Mus musculus: one gene and its partner. The protein of the gene in region 1 binds, or shares a complex with, the protein of each later gene. Links are inferred from orthologs where the notes say so. Each region holds a gene or a part of one and is shown in the gene's direction. Other genes may lie near its edges.

The links.
Region 2: Polr3g (region 1) and Polr3k share a complex: the UniProt entries of both Homo sapiens proteins name them as parts of the RNA polymerase III complex. The link is inferred for Mus musculus from reciprocal best matches to the Homo sapiens genes POLR3G and POLR3K.

The regions. Positions count from the first base shown.
Region 1 is NC_000079.6:81,706,539-81,713,504, reverse strand, and holds the start of Polr3g (DNA-directed RNA polymerase III subunit RPC7), read left to right. Parts: upstream 1-2,491; 5' UTR 2,492-2,647; intron 2,648-6,966. Other genes in the region: Mblac2 (metallo-beta-lactamase domain-containing protein 2), read right to left, coding at 1,523-1,976. UniProt on the Homo sapiens protein: DNA-dependent RNA polymerase catalyzes the transcription of DNA into RNA using the four ribonucleoside triphosphates as substrates.
Region 2 is NC_000068.7:181,861,894-181,868,798, forward strand, and holds the start of Polr3k (DNA-directed RNA polymerase III subunit RPC10), read left to right. Parts: upstream 1-2,466; 5' UTR 2,467-2,565; coding exon 2,566-2,676; intron 2,677-4,052; coding exon 4,053-4,140; intron 4,141-6,310; coding exon 6,311-6,438; 3' UTR 6,439-6,905. UniProt on the Homo sapiens protein: Core component of RNA polymerase III (Pol III) which synthesizes small non-coding RNAs using the four ribonucleoside triphosphates as substrates. Can mediate Pol I proofreading of the nascent RNA transcript.

The DNA.
Region 1 (6,966 bases):
GGCTCCCAGAAAGTCAATGAGGGTGAGCTTAGCCAAGATTCCTAACAGTGGGGACATGAAACTAGCAGAGGCCACCTCTTGTAGCCAGACAAAACTCTCAGTGGCGGGATAAGGACATCAACCCACCCACAAAAGTTTGACCCCAAATTTATCCTGTCTAAAGGAAATGCAGGGATAGAAAAATTCCATGAACAAGCACTAATCCCTGACGTTATTAATGAATGATACTCTGTTATGCTTGCAGACAGGAGCCTAGCATACCTGTCCTCTGAGAGTCTCTATCCAGCAGTGGACTGAAACAGATGCAGATACCCACAGCCAAACATTGGACGGTGGTCTGGGACTCTTATGGAAGAGTTGGGGGAAGAATGAAGGCCCAGAAGGGGAAGGGAGCTCCAGCGCAAGACCAAGAGAGTCAACTAACCTAGGGGCACTCAGAGACTGAAGCACCAACCAAAGAACACACAGACTGAAAAGAGGTTCCAGGCACATAGGTAGCAGGCAAGCACCTCAGGCTCCATGGCTGCCCTATCTGGCCTCAGTGAGAGAGGATGCACCTAATCTGGCAGAGACTTGATTATGTGCTGTGTTGGGGGGAGGGGTACCCAGAGGGGCCTCCACCCTCTCGGAGGAGAAGAGAAGAGGGGATGGGAGGAGAGACTCTGTGAGGGAGGGAGCAGGAGCAGGAGTAGTTTTGGGGATGTAAATAAATAAATAAATCCTAAGACAAAAATATAAAATTGATAAATCAAATATTGCTGCTGTTGCTAATCAGTTCAGTTAGTGCAGTTCCAGCATGAGGGGAAAGGGACTGGGACCCTGTCTATTTTGCTCCAATCTATCAATTGCTTAGGACCAAGAGAATGAAGTCCTCATTAACACACACACTTTCTCCACCGGAAACAACTCCCTTATTGATCTTTCCTAGGCCTTGCTCTCATCCAGACCAGATATTTGTCATATTTCTATATTTTATGTTCACTGTCAAGCCTTTTTTTTTTTTTTTCTTGTGAGGCAATAAGCAAACAAATCCATCCGAAAGGTCAGGATGGATGAAACGGAACCAAAGCTTTCCAAGCCTACAGGTGGACCGGATAGGCACTATGCAGTGAAGTGAGGAGGCAGATGAAGTCAGCAGTTTTCAAAGCACAGAGCCTAACACTCTTCCCAAGGTGCCATTGCTTAAAAGCCTACTCGTTACAAAAGCTGAAAATGTTCAACCGGTACTTGGGAAAAGAATGGAAAATCTCCAGTCACAAGTCTCTGCAGTGTTACTACTGTAGCTGACTGACTGGGGATGGTGTGAGCTTTCAAAGAGACAGCCACACAGCAGCAGCGCGCATCTCCGGACAGAGAAGCCTGCCAGGGCCTAGTCTCTGCTTAAGCTGACTTCCACGCAGCAAAGGGTGAAACAGAGTATTCCCGCACTGTACCCCAACAGTGCCAAGGAGGTCTGTAACATGCTGTACACGCTCTCCAAGCCCCTCCCTCAGTGACAGCGCACGCCCGCGGGGCCCATTACCATCCTGCAGAATGAGGGTGGGTTGCACTGCCTGCACTCGGAACTGCCTGGCCCTCCAGCCAGGGCTGGGCGCCCGCACCACCTCGCTGTCAGAAAGCCAGGTCACGGTCTCAAAGTTGTCCCCGCGAGCCAGGGCCTCGGCCTCGGCGCGGTGCACAGCCACCTGGTCGAACTGATAGAGACCGCCGGAGTGATCGAAGTGCACGTGGGTGGCCACGGCCAGCAGTGGCCGGCGTCCTGCATCCTCTTTAGACCCGCAATCCTGCAAGAGGCCAGAGGAGTAGAGGTACTCCGGAAGGCTGCGCAGCCCCAGGCCAGTGTCTATCACCACGTCCTGCTCCGAGCCGCGCACCAGCCAAATGTTGGCCCGGTTGCCTGACTCGTAGAACCGTTCTTGAATCCAGAAGATGCCATCGCCCAGAGACTTGTGGGCATACCACTCGAGCGCCGACATGCTGCTGCGCAGGGGTGCGGCCGGGCTAGGTGGGTGTGCCTCCCACAGGCAGTCCAGGACTCGCTGCTGCTGCTGCTGCTGCTGTTGCTGCAGAGCCGGAGGAGCTACTCTCAGCTCCGGAGGAGGTGCGATCGAGGGGCGGGGATGCGGAAGGGAGCGTGGATAGGACGCTGCGACACTGCCCAGATCACCTGTTCCGCGCCCTCCCGTCCGAGCCGCAGAGCGCAGGCTGCACCCCAGTTGCCGCAGCTTCTGCAGCCGCAGCACCAAGGCAGTAACGCAGGCTGCTGAAGCGGGGAGGAGACACCGGGCAATGCTGCCCTGCTCGGGGTTCTACTGCAGGGGCCGGGAGAGATGCGTGGGAAGCGACACACAGGACCGCCCCCACACGGGCAGCGGGGGGCTGTGCACTCGCCGCCGGAGCCCAGAGTGAGGCCGAGCCTGTTGGAGGCTGACTACGGCGCCTGCCAAGGGCTAAAAAGCTCTCTTCCGGGGGTGTGGCCTCGCGGGAGTGGGCGGGGCTTCCAGTGCGCTCTGCTGCGCCGTAGCCGCGTGCGGTGTGGGGCGCGCTACTCCGGAGGTAGAATCTGCGGCTCCTTGCTGGAGGGGCTGCCGGCTTTCTTGCTTCCTCTGCTGCACCGTGTGCTCAAGCCTCGAGACTTGGCTAGCAGGTAACTGGAAGCTATCCCGTTCTGGGCAGGAGGTGAAGAGGGTAGAAGGGAGTTGATGGGGCACGTGGAGAACGTGGTGGCCGGGTATCCGGAGCCAACATTCATGAAAGCCCCTCTGGAGTGACTTTGGGAAGTATCCCTACCTCCCCAAAGCTGCTGCTGCGGTCTTCCAAACCGTTTAAAGTTTTCGTAGCCAGATCTCCCAGCTTTCCGGTGGGTTTGTTCTCAGTGAGAAAGAAGGGAGTTTATCCTCTTACAAGAGAAGACTATGCAAATCTGACGACTGTGTTTTTTCTTCATTCAAAGTTTGGCGGCAGTTTGCTGATAAGGGCATACTTACCGTCGCTTCTGTTTTCTTAATTGTTGGCACCCTTGATAGTGAGGAGAGGGGTTGGTGATAAAATTTTTCTTTAAAAAGAAAAACCTAAATGGCCGTCATAGTTCTGGGTGGTTCTTTGCTCTTTGAAGAGAGCAGAGAAAGTTAGAGCTTAAGGAAAGGCGGAGCACTTTGAGGGGACATGAAAAGTGGATAGGGACTGGGTGTGGCCTTGCAAGCCACCAGAAATCACCCCCACTGTCAGTATCAAGTCCCTGCGCTTGCACCCAACCACTAGCTATTGATACATCTATTTCGGATTAAGAAATCCCTTTGAGAATTTGACTAACCTTCAGAAATTATAAAGAGACCCACGGGAGAGCATTATAAAGGATAATTAGGAAGATTCTTACTGTGGTATCTCCTAATAAGTTTCCTAGAGGGAGAACTGTACTTCCAACACTCCAAAACTCTCTGGTGGGTGTAGGAGCAGGTCACTGCCCTTTTGAGTATTTTGCTAATCTCATCGGTTATGCAGTTGGGACCATTCTTAGCACGAGTGCCTCAGCTAAATGGTGTGTGACAAGCAGAAAACTGTTTAAAAACAAAAAAAAGTCTGATGTGAGTTCTCGAGAATCTGAGGAAGCTAACACCTGTACACAAATACTTGTTATATAATGCAAAAAAAATGCAAAAATTGGATTCTACTTATAGATGGACTAGTGAATGATTGCACTGGCCTTATCGAATGCATTTTCTGCAGAGAAACACAGTGCCCTCTGTACTTTGTTTTTGCTGCAGAAGGGGGCCACTCGGTAAGATGGCACAGTGTTGTTTCTTGGCCATAAGCTCAGAAAGAATTCAGAGATGACTATCTGGCTTGTGGCAGGCTCTAGAGTCCTTTGGACCTACAGTTCCCAATGACACTTTGTTTTCTACTTTTCAGTATGACTCTGCTTCTCATCGTAATTACATTTAAGCTCAGACAGTCCTGAGAGAGGCAGAACTTCTTCAACTAGTTTTTCTGGCCTGGTTCCTGCTTCATTTTCACACCACCTATCAGGTTCTGACAGGTTCTCTAAAGTATATTTTGCCCACTTCCCATACTCGATCGTAAACTCCATTAAAAGCAGAGATGTTATTTTGTTTGCCTCTGTATTTCCAACAGTGAGAGGATGGTTTGGCCCAGAGGTTAGGCTTAGAGTTGGGTCTTTATCAAGACCTCAGTGGATAGTTACTTGGTGAGAAGCAGAAGTTAAATGTCCTAAGCTCTGTTAATTGAAGAGAATGACATATCAGACGATTAGCCTTCTGTTAAATTGATGAGATGAATTGTTAGGGACATAACAATTATCTGGACATAAAATGCCTACGATGTTTCAGAGGGTCGATGTTAAAGGCCTGAGCTAACGCAGAAAAAAGGGGAATAATAGAGAACACACTGCTAATAGTCTTCTGTTAGGTGATCAAAGGAGACAGCCAGAGTGGAATGAGTCAGGCTCGTGATTAGAGCAAGTTTAGGTCATTCTTCAGAAAGATACTGTGACTTGGCTTTCGCTGTCTCCCCTGGCCTCCAGCTACTTGAACATTTAAATGAGCAAGGTTGTGTGTACAAGAGGATGTTACATTTCAGTCACAATTATAACTCACAACATTTTAGATCTAGGAAGAATTGCAGAGGTGAGCGCACCATCTTCCAGGAGATTATGTGTACAGTTGGTTTGGAGAGACTTGAACAACGCCCATTTTCAGATCTCTTGGAACAGATTCTGAACGGAAGTTTTGAGGCAGGACTCTGAGCTGGCAGTCAGGCAGCATCCTGAGGTGATGGTGGCAGTGCTGCTTTGTCGATCTAGTGTTTTCGATTTCAGATTTGGGGCTGGAAAGACGACCCGAGTTCAGTTCCTAGCGACCACAGCGAGTGGCTCACAAGCCCTGATGGCCTGGCATCCTCTTCTGACCTGCCTGGGCACCTGCATTTCTCCGCACATACCCACACACATTTTAAGATTTTGAAATTCAGAACTTTTTGCAGTTGCCAATTTCCCTCATTGATCTGGGATTAAAAAAATAGGTTGTTGCCGGGCAGTAGTGGTGCACGCCTTTAATCTCAGCACGTGGGAGGCAGAGGCAGGCGGATTTCTGAGTTCAAGGCCAACCTGGACTACAAAGTGAGTTCCAGGATAGCCAGAGCTCTACAGAGAAACCCTGTCTCGGAAAAACAAACAAACAAAAAAATAGGTTGTCAATGACTTTAGACATGTGTTCCCAGAAGTAAAATATAGGTAGGGCATTGAAAGGCCTTCCTCCGCCTGTGTACGCTCACCTTTGGTAGGAATTGTTTGAGATGAGATCAGATGACCTTTATAACCATTTCCTCTTCTACAAAGCAAGGAGGTTGAATCTACTGTGATTCTTCGTTTAGCCAGGACCAAATAATGAAGCCTTGGAATGGGTCACTTATTGTATATAGAGATGCCAACATATCTCAAAGGAGCGGATGCTTTGAAGGAAGAATTAAGAGTTGCTCGGTGCCTGACCAAAAGGATCAAAGCTAGTTGAGTAAATGACTGAGTTGGATTAGGCCGTTCTAAACAAATTTGGGTAATGAGGAAATCGAGAAATAAAAAACTCTTCATTCACAAAGTTTGGGAGCTGGGGCCATGTCCCATCTATTAAGGACATTGAAGCAGAAGGATATAAATTCAAGGCCTGCCTAGGCTGTAGAAAGGGCTCAAGTCCACACTGGGAAACTATCAAGTCTGTCCTCAAGAAGTAAATATGTAAATAAATAGAAATTAGAAGACTGAGACTAAAGTTTAGTAGTGGACGTTTACCAGTGTGTGTGTGAAGCTCTGGGTTCAACCCCTCTTCTCCCAGCCACACACCTTCCCTTGAAAAAGTCTGACAGGTTGAGAAAAAAAAAAAATCAATGTATTAGATAAATACATCAAATAAGGATTTAAGTGATTGGCGCCTAGGCCTCACTTGTGAACCTTTCCTTTCACCATTCAGTCTCTGGCTACAGGGGAAGAAAATGAATTTAGAAACCAAGTGTTCCTCCACCCACTCCCACCTCCCCACTGTTGATGTGATTGGGTGTTTCCGGGAGGGAGGGAAACCTGGAAAGGGGATAACATTTGAAATGTAAATAAAGAAAATATCCAAATTAAAAAAAAAAAAAGAAAAAGAAAAGAAACCAAGTGTTGTATATACGGGAGCACCCTGTCTGCGACATCAAACTGTAGGATGGCTTGTAGGCAGTGCGCCTTGTAACCAATGTGTCTCAAAAGCTAGCATTGGATTCTCTGCCGGATACATTTACTGTTGTTATCAGTTTATGCCCAATGACTGCAAGATAAAAATAGGAAGTTGGAGTCTGCAGAGCTTATTTCTGGGACAATATTCCATTAAACAGTGTTAAGTCAGATACTCTTAGAGTGAATTTCCCAAACCATTTCCAGGGCCCAACTTCAAAGATGTTGGCTTATTAGGTTTGAGAACTAAGTGTTCCCCAGGACTCAATATGTTTTATATTTATATTTTTTATCTCCCAGTTAATTCCTCTGATCAAGCAAGTTTGGTAAACTTTTCCTAGATTTATTTCTAATCTCTAGTTAGTGACATATTCTAGACTGGCAGGTAGCACAGTGGTCTTGTCCCTGCCTGTTGGGCTCCTACAGGTGCTGAGCAAAGGTGTCAGCCCCTTTACTCAGCAGAGGTCCTACTTGAAAGACCAGCTTTCTGTAGAATCAGCATGGTAGAGTGACTCAGCAATGGGAATGAAGCCATTGTGATATTTTACGTCTTTTAGAGTAGACAGATGGAATGAGCTTTGAAATGAAAATGAATTTCCTAATGGATTTTGTTTTTAAGGTAACTCGTGTATGAGCACAGTCAACCCCTAGTAGAGTTCCAATCAGCAAAATGGAAAAATTATAAAAATATATGCATCACTCAAGTCTGCAGGCTTTTAAAAAAATGTATATCGACATTTTGCAAT
Region 2 (6,905 bases), on another chromosome or scaffold:
ATCAAAAGCAAAAATCAATCTCCAACCATCCAATGTCTGGGATCCAACTCACGATCTTCTGGGCTCCTCCAAGGGCTTGGGCCACTTCTTCAGCTATGCCCTTTGTAGCACACACGTCATCCTCTAGGCTCCAGATGCCTGTACTCCACTGCTGCTGCTCTTGGTGGTCATCTCATGGTACTGGCATCTCCAAAACACTGCATGACCCCTTCAGTCCTGGGCTGTCAATTGCAACTGAGGCTGCACCTTCACCAATGGCCTTCCATGGCCTCTCACAGTGCCGAGCCTCAGCTGCTCTGCGTGACCCCTTCATGCCTTCAAAACCAGTACCACCTGGGTGACCCTTACACATTACCAAGTCCCACTGCAGCAGGAGTACAACCTTGGTTATCTCTGGAACACAACTTCTTTGTGCTTTCAGAAAACACTTCCCAGAAGATGTCACCTCAACGATGCTGGTCTCTTCTTAATCACTGCTAATTTCTTAGCTCCAGCTAACCAGCATCAATAGTGCCAGTAATGCAAAGATTTTGCTTTAGTAGTTCTGGTATCTTGTTAATCACAGCTGATTCTTCAGCTCCAGCTAACCAGAACCACAGAATAATCAAACTCCAAAATAGCAATGGCTCTGAAGAGTCTTTAATTTTCCCTCTGAAATTTCACAAGCCAGGCCTCCATCTTCTGCACTGTTCTCAACATTATCTTCCAAGCTCCTACACAACATCTGACAGAGCTCTTAACACTGAGTGAATCTTCTAGCCCAAAGTTCCAAAGTCCTTCCACAGTCCTCCCCAAAACATGGTCAGGCTGTCACAGGAATACCCCACTCTGCTGGTACCAATTTGCCTTAGTCAGGGTTTCTATTCCTGCACAAACATCATGACCAAGAAGCAAATTGGGGAGGAAAGGGTTTATTTGCCTTACATTTCCACACTGCCGTTCATCACCAAGGAAGTCAGGACTGGAACTCAAGCAGGTCAGGAAGCAGGAGCTGATGCAGAAGCCATGGAGGGATGCTCTTTACTGGCTTGCTTCCCCTGGCTTGCTCAGCCTGCTCTCTTATAGAACCAAGACTACCAGCCCAGAGATGGTCCCACCCACAAGGGGCCTTTCCCCCTTGATCACTAATTGAGAAAATGCCTTACAGTTGGATCTCATGGAGGCATTTCCCCAACTGAAGCTCCTTTTTCTGTGATAACTCCAGCTGTGTCAGGTTGACACAAAACTAGCCATAAATATTTGGCTTACATGTCAAGAGTCCATTGTTTAGGGGAGTCAATGCAGGAACTTGCTGCAGAAACAGAAGCCATTACCATGGTGGGATGCTGCTTACTGGTTTGCTCCTCATGATTTACTCAGATTCTCAGATTGCTTTTTTCTCTCTCTCCATTTTGTTCTTAGACTTACTTAAGTGTATGAGGGTTTTTGTTTGTTTGTTTTTTTTTTTTTTTGAATGCTTGTTCGTGCACCAAAGACGTGCTTGGTGCCTACGGAGGTCAGAAGAGGGCATTGGATTCTCAGGAACTGGAGGTTATGGACGTTTGTGAGCTACCATATTGGTGCTGGGAATTAAACCAGTGTTCACTATAAGAACAAGCAACAGCTGAACTATCTCTTCAGCCCCATCATTCTGCTTTCTTATATCACCCAGGACCACTGGCTTGGTGGTGACACCGCCCCCAATGGGCTAGACCCTCTCCTACCAATTTTAACTCAAGAAAATGCCCCCAGAGACTTATTTACTGGTCAATTTATGGTGACATTTTCACAATTGGGGTTCCTCTCCCTGGATATTTAGTTTGTGTATAGTTAAAGCAAACAGAAAACAACACACACATACATGTGCATGTTGCAGAATGACTGCAGAGGATTAAAGAGGCAAGGAGTTTCAAAGAAATCTGAGAAGCCAGAGCTGGGAAATATAAATGTCTATAGGAAATGAGATAAAAGAGTCAGCTGGACGTCTGTGAAAAGGAGCTGCTGGTATTTGTTACCTGCAGGGTTGAGTCTAGCTGTGTAAGTGAAAGGGCAGAATGAAACTAGGTGAAGAAATGGCCAGATGGAGGAATGGCAGGTCCAGATAGGATATCGTACGTCAGTCAGACAGCAGTTGAGACGTAGTATTAACAATGGGGACAGTGTTCCTGGGACATTTGGTTATTTTCTGTCCGTTCCGGATGAGAATATTGCGGAGCAGCATGATCCTCCTGTAACACGTCCATGGCTCGGAGTGCGGCAAGTGTCTCCTCATCACCCAGAACCTCTCACCTGGGTACTCTGGTGGTGCCAGCATTATCGGTCCAGTCCTCTTGGCGTTTCAGCTAGGGAGACGTGTGCACACGCGCAGAAACGACAGGGCTGGGCGTGCAGGCAGCATGCTATTGGCTGGATGGGAAAGGATTATCTGCGGTGACCAATGGAGTGTGCGAGGCTGCCCGCCGCAGTGCCTACTGGGAACGTCTTGAGGATCCCGGGTTGCCAGTTACGGAGCAAGTGAGACGGCTTTTGATTGGGCGCCTGCACCACGGAAGCGCCAGACAGAAGCGAGGTGTGGAAGCTGGCAGTATGCTGTTGTTCTGCCCGGGCTGCGGGAACGGACTCATTGTGGAGGAGGGGCAGCGTTGCCATCGCTTCGCCTGCAACACTTGCCCCTACGTCCATAATATCACCCGTAAGGTAAGTTCCACAGACGGGTGCCTTCTCTGCTTTCTGGGAGGCACAGCAAGCGTCGGCGCGCTCAGACCTTCCTGCAGGCTTTTGTGCTCTCGCTGCGGTGGTACCCCAAGTCCAGCAGTCGCTGCTCCAGTGGCGTCGCTCCGGCCACGTCGAAGCCCCCCCACCCCCCTCTAGCTCTCCGTTGCCCACTTTGTGATACTCCGAAAATTGTGAGAATTTTAGTTCATACCTTTTAAACCTACACTCCCCTCGTGCTGTCCTTGGCGTACCAGTCCGCGCCTCGCCTCTGATTTGAAATCCTTGGGTTCTTCTTGTGGCTCTTTTGCTCCCAGCCCCTGTCGTTATTCTAGAGAATCTTCACCATGTACGCAGTACTGTTAGGTCCTTCCTTTTGCCCGAGTCATTCTTACACAGGCACATATCACACTTATTCATTCTCCGCCTTACCCCCTACCCCCGTGTATGTGTGCATGTATGCGTCTCTGTTTCCCTCTTCCTTTCTCTCTCCCTCTCCTCTTTTAAAATAATGGCTACCTTATTTAGATTCCTGCCCTTCTGGCTGTTTGTGCATGTCTATAATTTTAGCACTTGGAGAGGCTGCGGCAGGAGAATAGGTTCAAGGCTCACCTGGGCTGCATAGCACATAGACACGCACACACACGCACGCACAGGCACAGGAAACAAACCAAACCCCAGCACTTTCAGTTTATCCACATTCCTTTTATATTTTTCACAGAATGCATTGCCTTCTAATATTTTATATCCTTGTTGCTATTTTGTGTGTGTGGTGCTTGTGTTGGAGCCCAGAAAGCTGTATTTCTAGCCCTTGGTGTTTTGTGTACCCTTCAACTCTTGTTTTGTTCCTCCTTACCTCAGTGACTGCAGGTGTGCACCACTGGGCCTTGGTGACATCTCATTCTTAATGTTTGCTCATTAGAGCTGTATGGTAGGAGTTTAGAGTCTGGATTTGTGGTAAGATGAGTTGTGACATAATTTCGAAATTAGAAGGATGCCTGATAAACTTAGGAAAGCAGCCAAAATGACCTGGGGAGTGCTGGTATACCCAGTTAAATGTCTGTCACTCCTGTTGGATTATTAGGTGTCTGAGGGGTATGAGAGAAGAGTGAGGTTTTACTAGGCTGATTTTTCTTCCTGCTCTGTCTGGTGTTTCCTTCTGTTTCTAGAGACCTTTGACATTGAACCTCTGTGCTGTTTTGGGGGACATCCCAGTCACAAGACCCCTACATTTCAGTGACTCACACTGCTCTTTGAAGAAGATAAATTTTGTAGAGGGAATGCTGGAGGGAGATTGTAGTTTGGTGGCCCACTTGTAAAACTGTACAATTACTTCAAATCTGATGTCTTGTTTCTATTAGGTAACAAACCGAAAGTATCCAAAGCTAAAAGAAGTGGACGACGTGCTTGGTGGAGCAGCTGCATGGGAGAATGTGGACTCTACTGCAGGTGAGGATTTTCCCATAACAGAGCTAGGGACTCAACCCTGCTTATTATTACTCGTTATTATATTTAATAATAATAAATTTATTATTATAATGTAACCCTGTCTGTTATTAGGGCCAGTGAGATGGCTCAGCAGGTAAAAGCACTTGTTGCCAAACCTGTTAGATTCTTGGAGCCCAGAGAGTAGAAGAGAGCTGACTGATGGAAACTTTTTTTTTGTGACTCTGTACCATCCACCACACACACACACACACACACACACACACACGTACGTACGTGTAAGTGTAAAAGAATTTAAGAAGATGTAAATAACAAAGTAATGACAAATAGCTAGTGTTTGTCACTAACTCTAAACAAGGTTTTACATTTTTGTTGCTGTTTGATTTTGTTTTTTGAGACATGGTTTCTCTGTGTAGTCTGGGTGTCCTGGAACTTGCTCTGTAGACTGTGCTGGCCTCAAATTCAGAGATCTACCTGTCTGCCTCCCGTATGTTGGTATTAAAAGCATATGCCACCACCACCTGGCTGTATTAAATGTTTTTTAAAGTAGATTCTTTCAAGTATTCTTTAAAGGAAAGTTACCATACGGATACCTGAACTGTTGTTTCATTTAGACTCTCAAGTCAGATATGGAAAAGTATAATTAAAAATAAATCTGGTGCATATTCTCTTCTTGAAGCAAAATTGGAGTTCATTACAAAAAAGTTTCAACATTGATGTAAACATAGCTGTTGAGAGGGAAAGAGAGATCCATGCTCTAGCAGGTGTAGGCTTCTCGAGAGTTATGTTGTATGTATTTTCAAATACCAACACTGAAAAAATGATCAGCCCTGGTCTTTTATTTTCATTTTATTTTTTATTATATGAATTAAAAAAAAATTGTAACTAGGGGTGAAGCATGGTTGCTCAAGCTTATAATTCTGGTGCTCTCCGGGTATAGGCAGAAGGCTCAGTGCTTATCTGGGCTTCATGAGACCCTGCCTCAGTCAGTCTGTCAACCAAGAAATAGTTGGGTAGGATTTCAGTGGTTAAGTTGGATTTCCTTCCCAACTTCCATAGCAGCTCAGACCTTCTGTACTTGTAGTTTCAGGTGATCTCATGCCCTCTACTGGCATCCAAGGGTACTGCATGAACATGATTCACGGAATACCTGAAGGCAAAACATGCACATAAAATAATGTTAAAAAAATTAAAAGGGGGGGAGGAGGAAATTCGAGACAGAGTTTCTCTGTATGGCTTTGGTTGTCCTGGAACTCACTGTGTAGACCAGGCTAGCCTCGAACTCAGAAATCCGCCTGCCTCTGCCTCCTGAGTGCTGGGATTAAAGGCGTGCGCCACCATGCCCGGTGCAACTGGGGGTATTAAAAAGTAATGTTTACATCTTGATTTATGTCTGATAGACTTAAATGTGATAATGGAATGAAAGAAGATGACCTTAAATAGTAGCTGTTTTAGAAGGAGTAGCAGTGCGTGATTCCTCTATAGAGGAATATACAGATCTTCTATGTTAACAGTTATCATTAGCTAGGTGTGGTAGTGCAACTGAGAGATGGACACAGGAAAATCAGGAGTTCAATTTTATCTTAGCTACATAGTGACTTTGAGGCCTTCCTCAAGAACCTGTTTTATAAAAGCAACAAAAGCCCTGGAAGTTGAGAATTAGTAGAGGCTTAAAATTTTTGTTTGTTTGTTTTTAATCTGTTTATCTTTAAGGTAGAATTCCCTATGTATTCCAGGCTGGCTTTATAGCAAGCCTCTTATTTCAGTTTCCCACGTGCTAGATTATAGCTGTGTGCTACCTCAGTGGGTGTGTATTTCTGTTACATTCCCACAAACAGACTATAATAGACCCTTCCCATGCTTTTCCAGCCATTCTTCAACCAGATTTGAGAAGGGAAGTGAAACCCAGGGATAGAAGGGGAGGGGGTTTCAAAAAAAAAACCTTTAAACATCTACTCATTTTCAAATTTCAAGGCTTTTGTTGCTTTTATAAAACAAGGTCTCTCTAGTCTCCTTATTATTGATGTGCTGTGGGAAGGATGTTGCTATTGGCAAACTCACCATTAGCTGGAGTAAGGGAGACCATAAGGGAGTCTAGCTGAGCATGGAGATGAGATGTTTACCCACACTTAATGTTTTTGTAATGTGGATAACTTGCTTTTCTGTTTGTCAGAGCCATGTCCAAAATGCGAACATCCCCGTGCCTACTTCATGCAGCTTCAGACGCGTTCTGCAGACGAGCCAATGACCACCTTCTATAAGTGCTGCAATGCTCAGTGTGGACATCGCTGGAGGGATTAAGGGCAGGACTTGCCCAGCTGCAAGCATGAATTTTGTGTGTACTGAAGGTCTTTGCTATATGATAGTAAGCTGACTTTTCTGTGGTGAAGGATCAGGGTGAAATATAACTCATCTGCAAGTTAACAGATAAAGTCCTTGATGTATAGGGGCCGTCAGGTCCTTGGGAGATACACATAAGGATGCTCACTTGGGTTCAGGTCCTGTTCCTTACCATTCAAACTAGGAACTTGGTTTATAGTCAGTAAAAATAAAAATTATTATTATTATTTAGTTTTTCAAGACAGGTTTTCTCTGTGTAGTCCTTGCTGTCCTTGTTATGTAGACAAGTCAACCTTGAACTCAGTGATCCACCTTCCTCTGCCTCCAGAGTGCTGGGGTTAAAAGTGTGTGCCATGACCACCAATGATAACCTTGAACCTTCTAATCTTTTTGCCTCTTGTTGGAAAAGTGTTAGGGTTATAGGCATG